3 linked regions of the Oryzias latipes genome follow. The protein of the gene in region 3 purifies or fractionates together with the protein of the main gene of each other region. This does not show direct contact. Links are inferred from orthologs where the notes say so. Each region holds a gene or a part of one and is shown on either strand. Other genes may lie near its edges.

Region 1 (5,294 bases), on a different chromosome or scaffold from region 3:
CAAGTGAATTTGATATTTCCCACTAGGTAAAAAAAAAGAGAGAGAGAGAAAGAAAATAAAGTATATTTAGTTCACAATTTTTTAAAAACACCTGCTGTTTTCCAGCACACAAACATACTATTTTTTTAAAGGCCTATATCATACTTTTAAACCTTTCAGAATAATCTATATCCATATAAATGAAAATATATTACCATTGGCAAAGCATAATTTTTTTCTTTAAATAAAATGCCAGTTTTTGCAGTTCATTTTCCAAGCCGGAAGTAAGAAAACTATCCCTGGCGCTGGGTGTGTGGGTGCTGGCTGACCATTTCATGACATCAACCTAGACATGGCCTCAGCAGTATGTCTCCGTTTCATGAAAACGAACATTATCCGAACTTTTTCAAAGATGGATCTGCATGTTGTGTAGAGCTGCACGATATGAGGAAAACTTGCGATATGCGATATTAATGATCAGTATTGGGATAACGATAAAACTTGCGGTATGTGAACAAATAGCAAAAACTACCAAAAACATCATTCCCCTTTCATTGCAACAGTTTAAAAATTATACTCTTATTGACCCTCGTCGACATAGGAGACAAACATCTAAGATAAAAGGGGTCCATCTGATTGGTCAAATGCATAAATGGATTTATTTGATTCATTAAATACTTTAAACTGCCATAAGACTTTTTTAGCACATTTAAGGTAACTATTTTATTGCAATTTTCGCAGTCTTTTGCAAAATGCATATTGCACAGCTTGATGTCACGATAAACTTGCGATATATTGTGCAGGTCTAATGTTGTGCATATAAAATGAACGCGTTTTTGCCGATCATTGATAGCTCTGCAGAGAAAGAGTCTGTGTGTGTGTTTGTGTGGGTGAGTGTGTGTGTTAGCTTGGGGGCGGTGCTAGCAGGGTAGAGGCTGTTCCTCACGTTGTTACGTCACAATGTTAGAACCCACTTGTTTTTGTGGACTAAGAGGGACTGGTGCTCAGAGAACTGGGTTTTTAAAGGAATGCTTAGATATGCATGAATGGAGAAAAATAATAATTTGGGATTTCTTTTCAAGAGGAATTAACACTATAATACACCTAAAAGCTAAAGAAAACCCTGAATTTTACATGATATCGGCCGTCTAAAATCACATGTTTTAGTAATATGATTGCTTGTAATAGTTTGTGTTCTTAATAACCTATACTTAATAGATCAATGGGTATCATGATGAGAAAATGCCCCAACAGAAATTAGTCTTCATGGTTGTACTTCACTGATTTTTTTGGAATAAATTCAGGACCATTTTTTTCAATGAAAAATAATGACATTTTTGCAAGATTTGGCAACCAAAGCATGCCAACCTGGTTCAGGTAATCAGAGTTTTAACATCCTTTTGTCTACAGTCTGATTTTGTCAACATACCTTTGAAGAAGGAGTTATGTAGCTTCTAACCATGTGCAATGTTAGTGAAATCAAATTTTATCATATTAGCTAAACCCATTTTTGAGAAAGGAAAGTGCACAGATGGTGTAAAAATATTTTCCTCCTAGTTTGTTGAACCTTTTATCTAAACTTTGTCTTGTGCACACTTCATTGAGTAATTTTTCTACTTTGTACTATCTGCAACTCTTGTTTTATATATATATATATATATATATATATATATATATATATATATATATATATATATATATAAATAAATAAACAGGCTAGCAGAAAGGTCTGCAGAAAATATAGCAAAGACATGTGTTGAGTCTTACTGCCCATTGCGTAGTTAATAATACACATGTCCCCTTGATTAATCTGATACAAATCAATTCCGCCTGCGGGAAACATGGTTAGAAACGCAACTTCAAGAAAACAATTCCCAGTTAATGCTCAGCAGCTATTACTTTAAAGTTTAGACTTGACATATTATACACAGAGCAGTTTGGGCCTTCCACATGACGACTTGTTCTAGCATCTTACGACTGGCAACGGCTTAATGAACCACAATCCACGAAACTAGTTTTAGTAACGACCCCAAAACGGTGCAGACGAACACTTTAATCCCACACCACCATGTCAAATAAATGCGTTCTCCCGACGAAGGCCAAGGTTGTCACGTTGTATTTAGCTAACAAGCTAGCGGACTGTCAGCAAAGTACATGCACACCACCTGTATAAACGCGGTTAGCTTGCTAAGAGCTAATGACCTCGAATATATTTTTGCCCCAACTTTAAGCAACTCGGAAAAACAATAATTAATGCAGACAAAAGTGTTGAACAAGTTTACTACGACTCTTCACATCGTTTTCACAAGTTTTTGGTTGCAAAGCGAGTTATTAAAATGAGGCTTAAAGGACGAAGGCCTTTAGAATTACTGACAGTTGGGGCCATGTGAAAACACGCAGCAATTTTCTGACATTTCACTCGCAGAAAATGTCATGACAATCGTAAGATTTCACGTCGAAGAGTCGATGTTATTGTTAATTGTATCGAGTACGCTTTCTAATTATCAAATTAAATAAAATTATGGCTTAATAATAGGAGCAACGGAGGAGAACCACTGCCTCATATATGAATGGAGCATATGGCCTATTGGCTAACGCTGCCATTCTGGATGTTTGAGACTTCGGGGGGTATTAACAAGCACTTTTCACGACCAACACATTTACTGAGTAGGATAACATTCAAACAAACCAAGATTATACACCTAAAGGCATAACATTTTTGTGAAAATAAACTATTGAAGACTGACGCACAAACAACTCTTTTTGGTAAACCTGCAAGCGAAAGTGACGCTGCGTTTGCTCCTTGCTAGCTAACATTAGCCAAATAGCTTTTAGCTACCTGGTTACTGTGAGAAGCCATGCTCCCAGTGAGAATGTTCTCCTCCGCAAGACGAAAACTCCTCTAGGAAGGCGTTATGGGGTTGTAATGACAATTACAAGAGGTCCTCTACTCCATCGTAATTGTCAGCTCTCCAAACGGTTCTTGGCATTCAAACATTTCGATCCATGAAGCGGCCAAGAAATTCATGCTGCTCAGCTTGCCGTCGCCGCCATTTCTGCGAAGCATTCCCCTCGTTTGCTAACCATTGCACAGCCGCGCGGTCCGTGGAAAGCATGAGTGAGACGAGTAACCACAAATACTTCCGGTGAGTTTTGGCCTAACAACTTCAAAATAAAGGCCTCCTCGTATTATTATCATTATTATTAATAATATATTGTTGTTGTTGCGCTTTAAACAGTTCCCATTAGTTTATTTCTTATGTTCATGAAACTGAAATATAACAATTTAAAAATCATACAAACAATAAATTACAGACAAACTTGTATCGGTTCTTGGATGTCCTCTAGAATTAGACTGCTATTAACCCTTCAAAGTGTGAATTTGTATTTATGTATTTGCATAGTGCTTTTCCCATCCCTTGGGTGCTCCCATCAGGGCTCACCACAGCAGATCAGTTGCCACAATCCAACTCTAGCTTCTGTACCCATTCACTCCTCTTGGATTTCGTCCCAGTTGTAACCACAGCCTCCATCTGCCAATTTATTAAGTGTCCCTTCTTTGAATATGTAATCTAAACAGTAAAATGTTGTGTTCAAGTATAGCTTTGATCGTCTTTGGCTTCTAACTTTCTAAATTGGTTTTGATTTTCAGTAATTAGTGAGGAATGCTTGCTTTTTTCTCTCTCCATGTTTGAACTACTCTAACATTGTTAACACTGCTTTAATACTTACATTTGGTCGAAACTTAGTTGTCGAAGTAAAAGACACCCTCAGACAAGAGTTTACAGGCATATTTTGATATGTTTGTATTAGCCTCTTTTCAAGGAATTTGGGGAAAATGAACTACATCTAGTGTCTCCCCACAGATAGAGTTTCTAAGCCTCATTTAAAGACATAGCCACTTTTATTTACTGCGTTTTGATTTCCTCTGAGAGTCACCTATTTATTTATTTTTTTTCATACCGTGTTTATTGATAAATTTTACATTAAAAAACATTTATTTTTGGTGTCTAAACCCTTTGATTACTTTGTCTTTTTTGTTTCTTAAAATAGCTTTATTGCTATGCTATCCCTGCATTATTTTTTTTCTGTGCATCAATTTGGTGACTGATGTCTTTTTCCAGTTACTTCAGTAAAACCAATTGAGTATAAACACGACCTCCAGTTAACAACCACATTTATAATACACAAGAAGCAAAAAACATCAGCCAGAGATTTAATTAATGGAATTTTATTAAAGGTATTGACCTACCTTTAGATTAAAACCAAAATATCTTGTAAACCTGCAGCCGATATAAGTAACCAGTGGGTTTGCTGAGCAAAGGAGATGGACACATTTTTACTTGTCATTAAAAATACTTGATTGGATTGGTTCAAAGACTTCACAATAAAAGTGGTAAAGTTGATTATTAGAGGAAACCTTTATGCAATATATACAAGACACATGTTAATAAAACTAACATGTCATCAAGCAGTATATATTTCTTTGTTGCTGCCCAGTGAGTTTTCTTACATTTTTTTGTGAAGTTAACTTTTATTGTTCACTTAAAAAAGTACAAATAAATACAAAAATATACACGATTAACACTTGTAAAAACTGTACTTTGTCAGAAAACCTTTTTTAAAGTATCTAACTTAATTCAGTCAATACTAATTATAAAATTTTAAGTTGAAGTCAAATAAGATTACAGGTTCTTCTAAATTTCAGAAATGAATGAATGAAAACTTTATTAATCCCAACAAGGAGAAACTCAGTTCCAGTACATCTCGATGAAGAAGGTCAGATGTTATGTTACATTTAAGCAGTACCATTGTATACTTCTAACCAATATACATTGTGTTTGGATTTAAATTCCAATAGCAGCTGGTAAAAGTTCTTAGTTGTATGACTTAAACTCAATGTATTTCTTTTCTTTTTAACTTATTATAAATACTTTAGTTGATCTTTACATCTAAAGATGTCTCTTTTTTTACTAACAAGCTGCCATCAAAGTAGAACTACTGACTGTAAAAGAGAGCAAGACGTGTTATATCTTTTATTGGTTGAACTTTTTTTAAAGAAAAAAATGTCCTGTAGGAATTGAGTTTGCTTATGTTAGTTTCACTCTAATTAAATCGTGTAATTAATTTTATTATGAAAACCGGAAATGCTTGGAAGTGTCTGGGGTTGGCAGATTATTTTTTTCATCTGTTCCCGTTTTTTTTACCATGCTGTCACAAATGATAATTGTATTGATTTTTTTTATTCTTTTCTTTTCTTTTTTCCATTAATGTTTTTTTTTTATTATAATAATGTTTTTTTAAAGAAAACCAAT
Region 2 (5,092 bases), on a different chromosome or scaffold from region 3:
ACTCCCTGCTCTGCTCCATCTGGCACACCCAGGAAATCCACCTTTCCTTCTTCCCATTGTGTTGGACAACTTTAGTTTTCCTGTAAGTCACTGTATTCAAAGCTCCTGCTATACGTCCTTCATCGTTGCCTTTTCTTTTATTTCTCTGCCTACAAGCATGCTCATAAAAACCCTGTAGGTCAACAGAACTACTGGCATAGGAGTAGTCTATTGACTTCAAGGAAAGAGTAAACTATTTACTGAAGTAAAAAAACAAACAACCTAAAGAACAGATTAAGACTAAGTGTGGTGGTGTACCTAAAGCTTAAGCAAAGACTATTTTTGTCATAACCTTGTTCAACATCAATTTACTTATTGATTTGAAATTGTGAATTATGACACTTATTTTGATCTCTTTAAAATGTTTTCATCATAATTCTCTCATTCATACACTGGTACTGGTACATGCTTTATTCCCGTTAAGACTCCATTATAACATTGATAAAATAAAAGACTGAAAACCAAGGACAAGTTTTCTCCAGTTTGATATCAAAAGCTTTACAGTTTTTTATTCCATCACCTCACATGTCAAACATTTATACACTCTTACAACAAAAGCTGTTTATTATACAGTTTCTACTTTTCCGAGCAGATCCAGGAGTCCGTCTTTACTCAGAAATAGCGTCTCAGCAGTCTGCTGACAGATCACCTCAAAGGTGGGGGGATTCTGTAGAGCTGCTTCCCCCACCACAATCACATATGGGTAGCCCAGTCTGCTGGCGTCCTTCAGCCTCTTTCCAATGGTCATCTGTGTGCGGTCATCAAGAACAATCTCACCCCTCAGGTGAGGAAAGTCTTCACCCAAACTGTCCACCAGTTCCTCTGCTAAGACTGCTGCCCCTTCGACCTTACTGCCTTTCTTGGGGGGTAAAACGCAGATCTGGTAAGGAGCAATGAGACCGGGCCAGCGGATTCCCTCGTCTGTGGACAACACTTCAATGGCTGCAGCGAGAATGCGGCTCACTCCAAGGCCATAGCAACCCATTTCAGTGACGGAGGGTTTGTTTTGGGGGTTGCTAAAGGTGGCTTTGAATACACTGGAGTACTTCTTTCCCAGATAAAACGTGTGCCCAACTTCTATTCCCTTTGACTCTACCAGAGCTCCAGTTTTGCACTGTGGACAGTGGGTTGTGCCTGATGACAAAGTCTCCACATTAGCTGAAAAGGAGCAGTTCCCACAGAGTAAAAGTCGGTCCTCTCCTACGTCTGTTGGTAACTGAAACTCATGGGAAAGGGTACCGCCGATGTTGCCTGTATCCGCCTGTACCTGAACGCAGCGCAGGCCCAAACGCGTGAAAAGCTGGATGTACGCCTGACAGACAGATCCATACGTCTGTTGAGCAGCTTCTTCACTCACATCAAATGAATACATGTCTTTCATGTAAAACTCTCGGCCTCTGAGAAGACCAAACTTTGGTTTTGGCTCATCCCTGAACTTGCGGGTTATCTGGTTTTGGATGAGAGAAATCACAAAGTAAAAGGGCAGCTTATAACAGAAAAAGTGATAGTAACTATAGCAAAAAACCTACTTGGTACAGTAGCAGAGGTAGCTGTCTGTATGAGAGCGTTGCCTGGTGAGCAACAAGAGTGGTCACGGCCTCCTCGTGAGTGGGACCCAGGCAATAGTCTGCACCATGCCGGTCTTTTAGACGGAACAGCTCCTTTCCCATCAAATCCCATCGTTCACTAGTTCTCCAGAGATCTGCTGAGCACAGACTGGGCATGTCCAGCTTCTGCCCTCCAATCCCCTGCATCTCCTGGTCTATTACTCTCATCTGTTGATTGAAAGCAACAGTTACAGAACCAAAAGTAGTAGCAAAATGTAGTATTTTTCCATGTCATGATAACATTTTGAATAAAAAGTCAAACTGGTATTTAGTCATTTTTGTGCTTTTGTTTTTTCTTTTGTTTAAGATAAAAACTCACCAGCTTCTCCATTGATCTGACAGTGGCAGGAAGGTAGACGTAACACCCCGGACTGAATGGATGAATGAGGCCGGCCTGATGCATGAGCCTCTGGCTCTTGCATGTCATTTCTCCCGACAGCCGGCTGTCTTGGCCAACATCCCGAAGGTTCGAAGGCTGGTAAAGACGAGAAACCAGGAGCCTCGGCTTCCTGGATGTTGTCTTTGTAGAAGTACAGGTGGGTGTGTGCTCAGCATAACCTGATTGATGCCTCTTTGAAATAAGAAGGGCTCTGTGGAGACGATGAAACACTCTCTTCCAAACTGGATGCATCGTAGACTGTCACACTTCAAATTAATGCCCCTGTCAAGTAAAACAGTTTGAGTTATTAGTGCAGTGTAATGAGAGCAAAATATAATCAAGGCAACACAGTGACATCTGCACTTCAACAAGAGTCTGATCATCCAATAAATTGTGATGCAGGTTTACTGCTGCAAAACTGCTCAAATGTATTATTTTCTAGACAAAACTACAATGAGTACTAAAACTTTGTTTCTTTTTAAAACAGTTAATTTGGGTGCTTCTAAAAATATTTCATTTGATCACTATGTTAATGTTTTAAAGAGGAACAGAAAAAAAGCATCAAGCAAAACATCAAGAAGTGGAGACTCGTGTTTTTTGGCTCAATTAAGCTCATTTGATTTGGTTGGTAAACAATACAGTACACAAGTACTTCCTTAAAAGTGATTAAAATTCTCTATTTAGAAATATTTATATTTGAAATAAATTAACTATTCCCAAAAAATTAGACATTTAATTTGAAATGTTTTCATGCGTTCATATGATTTATGCACAAATTCATTGAGATTCTTGGACACATTAGAAAAGTTAAAGGAAGCCTTTGGCTAACAGACGACGATGCTAACGTTATTTTCCTCTGTTTGCGTGTTATAACGAGAAGCACGCTTACGTCATAAACAAGCCTCACCTTCAGACAGTTCCGTTGAGACGATTTTATTGGTACATTTGCGCCAAAAAGACTGAGAGCAGTTTGAAAATAAATGAATACACAAGGCAAGCATTGCTACCACCACTCCTCCACTCTAGGTCACTTTCTTTCTGTGATTGCATGACACCGCAATCACTGTAATCTCACACTGCCATCTACCGGTTTGGAGGGGAAATAACAACAGCGTTGGCAATAGTTTTTTTTAAATAATCTTTTTTGAAAACTTACAGACTCATTAATACAAAAATGAGAACATTTTAAAATATACAGATAGAAAACTGAGTAACAAAATGTGCCAGGGAAACATAGATTGAAAAAAAAACCCTGAATAAACAGAAGCAGGAAAAGCAGTGAGTTGTTATTCTCTGCATCTAAAAAAATACAAGGTGTCAAGTTCTTAAAGCTTTGGGGTTAGAAGAGGAATGTATTGTTTTGGTTTTTTGGTTTTTGGTTTAACTCAATCATAAAAAGTTGGAATAGTGCCCCCTCCCGAAATGTGCACTTATGAATATGAAATTTGGCTAGTACTATTAAATGATTACTTCAGTAGTATTCCCTTATTAGTGAATTTTTAACATAATGGACATTTATGACTCCTGGGTGTTTATTGAGGAACCTGTTAGCTGTCTGCCAAGGTAGAAATCACGCTAAAGTTCCAGTGAGGGCAGAATAGTGAAAAGACATCCACCTGACGGGTTTCTCCAGAAGAGATCTACTTTGAAACATACAATATTATTCTGCAAGTAAAGCAGCCATCCTGATGGATAAAGATATCGAAGACTTTGAAATAAGATCACAATGCTCCAACTCTTCACGCACCAGCCGCTTGTCCTCAACCAGTGCTATAGCAGCCAGAGCACGCGCAAAGGCGGAGGCTGCACGCACACAAGCATCATTTGCTCAACGAGAAGCCGACATGATTAAAGCACAAGCATATATTGAAGAGGAGCAACAAAAGGCTGCAGCTGAGGCTGCACGAAAGAAAGCGGAGCTCCAAGCAAATCTTCACAAGTTGCGACTAGAAAGTGCTGCTGCAGCCGCCATAGCAGAAGCTGAAGTCTTGGAATCAGCTGCAGAGAATGAATTTGGGGACCTAGAATGTATGAGCTTACACAGTAAATCCATTGACCATGACGTTACAAAGAATCTAAACTCTGAGCACTCTCACCATGACTCAAAGCTGCAAGAAACCCCAGAAATGCAGAAACACCATCAAAAAATGGTTAAAAGCTGCAAAGGGAACGCCGACGCACAGTCAAGTAAGAGTAATGTTCACGAGTTTCACGTACTACCTGCTCAACATGCATTCAAACAGGACACTCCTCCAAGTTACCCCCAACATCGAAACCCATCCGAAAAAACTCAGTATGAAAACACTCAGTTTGAGTTTGAACACAGACATGATCCACCTCCACCCAGAGGAACATTTTACTACTGGAATCAGTCTCACCATCCAACACCATCCAGCCATGTCAACCAAGCTTCCCAGTCTCCTCCAGCTGCTGCTACCAATGCCGCAGAGTCCAGTCCAGCGGCTATGACAGATCTGGCCAAGTACTTGGTACGCCGGGAAATTGTAAGCTCAGGGCTATTAAACTACGATGACCAACCAGAGAATTACTGGGCCTGGAAAACATCCTTCTGTAGCTCTGTAGAAAATCTAAATTTAACACCCAGAGAAGAGCTGGATTTATTGTGTAAATGGCTTGGACCAAAATCATCTGAACGTGCAAAGAGAATCAGAGCAGTTCATATTCACAATGCAGCAGCAGGTGTGAATATGGTGTGGCAAAGGTTGGAGGACTGCTACGGATCACCTGAAGCTATAGAAAATGCCCTTCTCAGAAAAGTTGAGGATTTTCCAAAAATTACCAACAGAGAAAATCAAAGGTTGAGAGAACTGGGAGACATTCTTCTGGAACTAGAAGCCGCCAGAACAGATGGATTTTTACCTGGGCTCAGCTATCTCGATACATCTCATGGCATCACTCCTATCATCCAGAAGCTGCCGTACTCTCTGCACGACAAGTGGGTTTCTCTAGCCTCTCGATACAAAGAAGCTCACAGAGCATCTTATCCACCGTTCTCTATATTTGCAAAATTCGTCTGCGACCAAGCCAAAATTTTCAAGTTTTGCTC
Region 3 (5,091 bases):
TGTAATCTAGGACTCACAGTTTAATTATGTGAGGGTGCCTGAAAAGTTTGAGGTTCTGGATCTCTCGCCGAATCTTTCCCACCACGTCCAAGCTGCGAATCTTCTGCCTGTTCAGGATTTTCACCGCCACTTGATGCTTGGTAAGTTCATGTTGGCCCACTGCAGGACAAACAGATGACAGGTCATAAATATCCTGGATTTTTAAGAATAGTTACATGGAAAATACAAGCCACAGTTATTAGGAATTACTTATTCAAAATATTATCAAACATAGTATTAAAAAGTAACTTTAAAAACAAAATCTTCTATTTAAATAAGCTGTTTTCGCAAATATTTGTTAAAGTTCCAACATTCCTAACGGAAGCTGCATCCATTCATTGATTACCAGACGGGACCTTTTTTGCATGTGTCACTGTTGATGCCAATTCATAGATTGATTGAAATTTCCCCAAACGGTGAGAGAAGCAAGTCTGCAGGAAGCTGAACAGTTTTTTTTTTAAAGTCTTTCAAAGTTCAAGTGGGAAATCAAAACAAGCTCATTTCATGGCTATGTGGGCCAAACACGTCCAACTCTGCAGTTGACCTTTAGTCTGAATTTACTGAAATTATGCTATTAACGTAAACCCGTTCAGATAATAGAAATAAATGAAAACTTTGATCGTGTGGATAGATTCAATCAGAAAAAAATATTTCCGCACAACAAAGACATTAAAGCAGCACAAAGAAAATACTGCAACTACTACTGGGAGTTGGAGAACAGTTTTTGCTTTTTAAGTTGTCCCATCGAGAAACACAAATCTGGCTCAAAGGGATATCATTTCACCTTTTAAAATACAAGCACGTCAAAAAACGTGTCCACTCATCCAACAACTATCTTCTGGCATCCAGGATTCGAGCTGCGGAAGCAGTAGTTTTAGCGAGGAACCCCAGACCTCTCTTTTCCCAGCTACCTCTTCCAGGATACAGCTGGGAGATCTAATCTTTCCAGAATGTCCTAGGTCTTCCCATATGCCCCCTCATAGTTAGACACACTCTTAACAACTCCCTAAAAAGGCATCTTTGTGGAATTCTCACAACGTTTTTTTTTAGTTTCCAGATATGTTTTAAATAAAGGTTAACCAATGTCTATTTACTGAAACCATGTTGGTTTAAAGCAGTGCTTCTCAAATAGTGGGGCGATGCGATGCCAGGGGGGGCGCGCAGTAGTGGCGGTTTTAGGCACAGGTAATACGGGCAAATGCCCGGGGCGTGGTGGTGACAACGGCTCAATGCTTGGGAAAAAATCTGCGCCACTATTGGTTTCCTATTATCTGTTCTATCACAGAGTTTGTAACAGCCTGAAACCTGTGAACCGCCGTCCCTGCAGCTGCTCCCGTCTCCTGTCACACACGTGTGTGAGAAGGAGAGGGGAGGGGTAGTGGGCTCAGGCTGCGAGGTGGAACAGCACACGCTGAACAACACCAGGATCATCACATGCCTTTAGATTCCTCAGCTCAGGCTACTAATGTCATTCTTTATGAACTATTGTAGACATTTTGATGCCGTGTCTTTATTTTCCATAAATGTATTCTTTGCGTCTGCCTGTGGTTTAGTCGGTGTCAGTATTTGACAAAGACAGCAGGTAATGCAGGAAAACAGCTGCACTCTTTGAGATCATAAATAAATAATCGATCATTTAGAAAAAAAATCAGCACTTTTTTTTACGTATTTCTTTAAACTAAAAACGTTAAATATATTGGTGCTACTGTGTTAATGTTTCACATCAATTTACATTTAATATTATTTATTGATTGGATTATTTTTCTCAGCATCAAATGGTTCAGTTGGTCAAAAATGTTTCTAGTTTAAATAAGGGCTAGTGTGGTGTTGGGGGGGGGGGGGGGGGGGGGGCTAGAATTTGTTCTTTTCAATGAAAACTCCTGTTTGATCAGTTTGAATACCCGGTTAAGGAAAAATGTTTTTTTTTCTTAAAATCCAAAAAACAGTTGTTTAGGAACAACAGTTTGAAAAATAATCCGCATTTCACACCTAAAAATCATACATATAACTGAATTTAAATTTGGCAACCTCACTGGCTTGTGACAAACGTTTGTCCATATTTTTACCAAAAACCTTAGCAAATGGCAATAAAAAAACATATTTTTCAATTAAACTACTCTGTGATCCACACAAAGAACACTCCACTGTCAAAACTACATAGAGGACAACAACAACAACAACAAATAAATAGACCAAAAGACACAGAAAATAAAGTGTAGATCACACACACACCGACTGCATACAGAGTGGGTGGTTCTTCATTTTTTAACAAATAACTGATCTTTATACGTTTTTAAAACACGGTTGGATTATACTTTAAAGTAAATACAAACAATAACTGCACGGAGTAAATCATTTAGATGTGCTTTATTATGAAATTAGTGCTTGCATGCCTCGTTATTGCCAAAATACAAAACTGGGCGTGAATTCTGCCCCCGTTTACTTCCCTTTCACCCATAAAAAAGCCCGGCCGCCTCTGAAATGAAAAAGCGTGTTAAGAAACGCCGCACAGCCAGGGGAAAGGTGAAATTGCAAACTCTGCGTTTATCGCCAATCCGAAAATCAAAAAAGGGGAGGGGTGATGAAGACAGGGCAACATCCTAAACATAACCGTATCCCGAGTTAGGGGCTGACGAGCTTGACTCCCGGTATATATCTTGACACCGACTTGTGGCTCTTTGGCTAGCTTAAACCGATGCTAACTGATTTATTATTATCTTTTTTTATTTAAAGAAAAAAACAAGTTTGAAAATGTTGATAAGTTGCGCACATCAGGTGGCATTAGTTAATTATTCCAAAAGCTAGACTAGCAGCATTATAACATTTATGATTAGCTTCCTGGTGGTGACAAGTTAGCGTCCAAGCAGGCTAAAGTAGGCGCTAAGCTAAAAGCGCCTGTAGGCTCCATCTTTCATTCGCTGAGATGTGCCGAGGCCAACGCTTCCACACGTACCTTTAACCTTTCCAAACGTCCCCACTCCGAGGGTGTCTCCAAGAATGTAATGTCCTATTTTAACTCTTCCTTCGTGCTTCTGTTTGTCCGTCGCCATCTTCCCGCAGCGGCCTTTCAGCGGGATTTGCTCGCTAAGGGGCAGAGACGGGACCAACTCCGCTGTCTCTCCAGCGGCGGCTCGGCTTCGCTTGGTGGGAGGGGTGGGGGGCTTCTCCGACTCCTCTGATTCGTCGAATTCACGGGTGAATGATGCCTTAACGCTACACACAATGATCGGAAATTGCAACTTTATCACCACCTCGTTATGATAGTTTCTTTAAAAGACCACGATAATGATCAATTTGAATTTGTAGAGTATTTAAGGATTAAATGAAACAGTTTTACTTCAAAATGGTATATTTAATTGTTTAAAACAAAGAAATAAAGATAAAGAAAAAGTCAAATATGTAAATTCAGTTTATTCGAGCCTCAGTAGTATTATTTAATTAAACGTTTTATTTAAAATCCCCGTCCTGGAGGACAATGTTTTGACTAATGTAGAATAAACTAAGGGGTCTCATTGCAATGTTGGATTCTTATATATATTTGAAATCCTAGTTCTGATTCAACTTTTTATTTTCTTCATTGAACAAATCATTTGAAGTTGCTGTTACTATTTTCAAGTTAATGTTAAAAGTTCTTTTAAAATAAATATTTTAACCCTGTCTTCATGTAAAGCTTCTTCTTTACAGGCAAATATTTTTTTTTTAATTTGCCTTTAGAATTAAATATATTTGTTACAGGTTCATGTATTTATTGTAGGTATAGAGGCAACCTGTATTAGTGGCATATTAAAATAGCAGATAATAAACAAAAAATGCACATTATTACAATTTATGTTTTCCTTTTACCTGAGTCTCGACAGAAAGGAGAGACATTTCAGGTTGTTGCCCATTTTTTTTAAATCACAGATTAGCAGTGCCATGATGACTTTGCAAAAACCATAAAAATAAGGGATGCATATCAGCTTTCTCACAGCTTTCTTTCTGATGACACAGAAATCAGCCCTCAGAGAGCAAATGCATGCATGCAGGGAGGCAAACATTTCTCTGTTGACACAGATAGCATGCAGGCTGTTTGGAGACAAAGCTCCAGTTCAATAATCAACCAGTTAAACTGTGCTGAAACAAGAAAGTTAATCCATAATTTATGCACTATATACATTCAACCAAAAGCACCAAACATAGACCTGCAGGTGCTCCTGTCGGAGACCACATAACCTTCATTGACTCATGCAATTTGTTCAATTCCACAAAAAAGTGTTAAAACATTGACTTTTTTCATTGTAAAAACTTATACCTTTGATAATAATCTGCTGTTAAAGACTAAGAACAAACACATTTTTGGAAGATTCTGGGTATTTAATGTCTTAGAATGAAAATAAGACTTTTTCTTGATATTAGTTTATCCCTTGTGCTATCTTAGATGACCCCATACTTTGACGTGTTCTCCCTACCATGACAAAGGTGGATAAAGGTGGAAAGATTTCATGTAATCCATGGACACCAGTGAAGATCACAAATCATTGAAGAGAAAAGGTTCAGAGCACTGTCTAGTGGGTCTAGATGACCCAACTCCCAATGTTTAAGTGCCTAGGATAGCACAAGGGTTATGGTGTAAACTGTTGTCTTTGTTGGTGTTTAACAGAGTGCTGCGCTTTACAATGAGTCTCTGCTGAAAATTGAACAAATGAGGAGAAACCTAACAATACAGGCAACAAAGAGATAGAAAAATCTCTTCACAACTGGAGCAACGTAGATCTGAAGACGAGGGGTAATGACACTGATGGGTAAAAAGATTGCTCCAATGGTTAAAATGTTGTTGTTTTTTTTAGAATTTACAAGCAAAAAAGATTTTAAACTAATGTCAAATCAGTTTATACCGTAAAACTTTGAAATGCACAACCAATAATGTTTATAGGCCAATGTAGATGTGTTTTACATGGATATGTTTTTTGTGTCATTTAATACTCACTGTCTTTTTAAATAAAGCCAAGTCCTTTTGTGTATTAATATGTTTCCTATAATTTGTCCGCTGTGGTACCTTATTTTTTTTTTTCA

Evidence for each region. The genes of interacting proteins can lie anywhere in the genome.
Region 1: the proteins of prkaa1 (region 3) and usp10 purify together in Homo sapiens (affinity purification with western blotting; 3 studies listed by BioGRID). This does not show direct contact. The link is inferred for Oryzias latipes from reciprocal best matches to the Homo sapiens genes PRKAA1 and USP10.
Region 2: the proteins of prkaa1 (region 3) and pars2 purify together in Homo sapiens (affinity purification with mass spectrometry; 3 studies listed by BioGRID and IntAct, with this or other methods). This does not show direct contact. The link is inferred for Oryzias latipes from reciprocal best matches to the Homo sapiens genes PRKAA1 and PARS2.

Annotation. Positions count from the first base shown.
Region 1 is NC_019861.2:21,052,586-21,057,879, forward strand, and holds the start of usp10 (ubiquitin carboxyl-terminal hydrolase 10), read right to left. Parts: upstream 3,081-5,294; 5' UTR 2,840-3,080; coding exon 2,819-2,839; intron 1-2,818. UniProt on the Homo sapiens protein: Hydrolase that can remove conjugated ubiquitin from target proteins such as p53/TP53, RPS2/us5, RPS3/us3, RPS10/eS10, BECN1, SNX3 and CFTR.
Region 2 is NC_019862.2:15,593,379-15,598,470, reverse strand, and holds pars2 (probable proline--tRNA ligase, mitochondrial), read right to left. Parts: upstream 3,081-5,092; 5' UTR 2,933-3,080; intron 2,308-2,932; 5' UTR 2,278-2,307; coding exon 1,966-2,277; intron 1,815-1,965; coding exon 1,569-1,814; intron 1,487-1,568; coding exon 605-1,486; 3' UTR 522-604; downstream 1-521. UniProt on the Homo sapiens protein: Mitochondrial aminoacyl-tRNA synthetase that catalyzes the specific attachment of the proline amino acid (aa) to the homologous transfer RNA (tRNA), further participating in protein synthesis.
Region 3 is NC_019870.2:7,421,721-7,426,811, reverse strand, and holds the start of prkaa1 (5'-AMP-activated protein kinase catalytic subunit alpha-1), read right to left. Parts: upstream 3,204-5,091; 5' UTR 3,090-3,203; coding exon 2,993-3,089; intron 160-2,992; coding exon 18-159; intron 1-17. UniProt on the Homo sapiens protein: Catalytic subunit of AMP-activated protein kinase (AMPK), an energy sensor protein kinase that plays a key role in regulating cellular energy metabolism.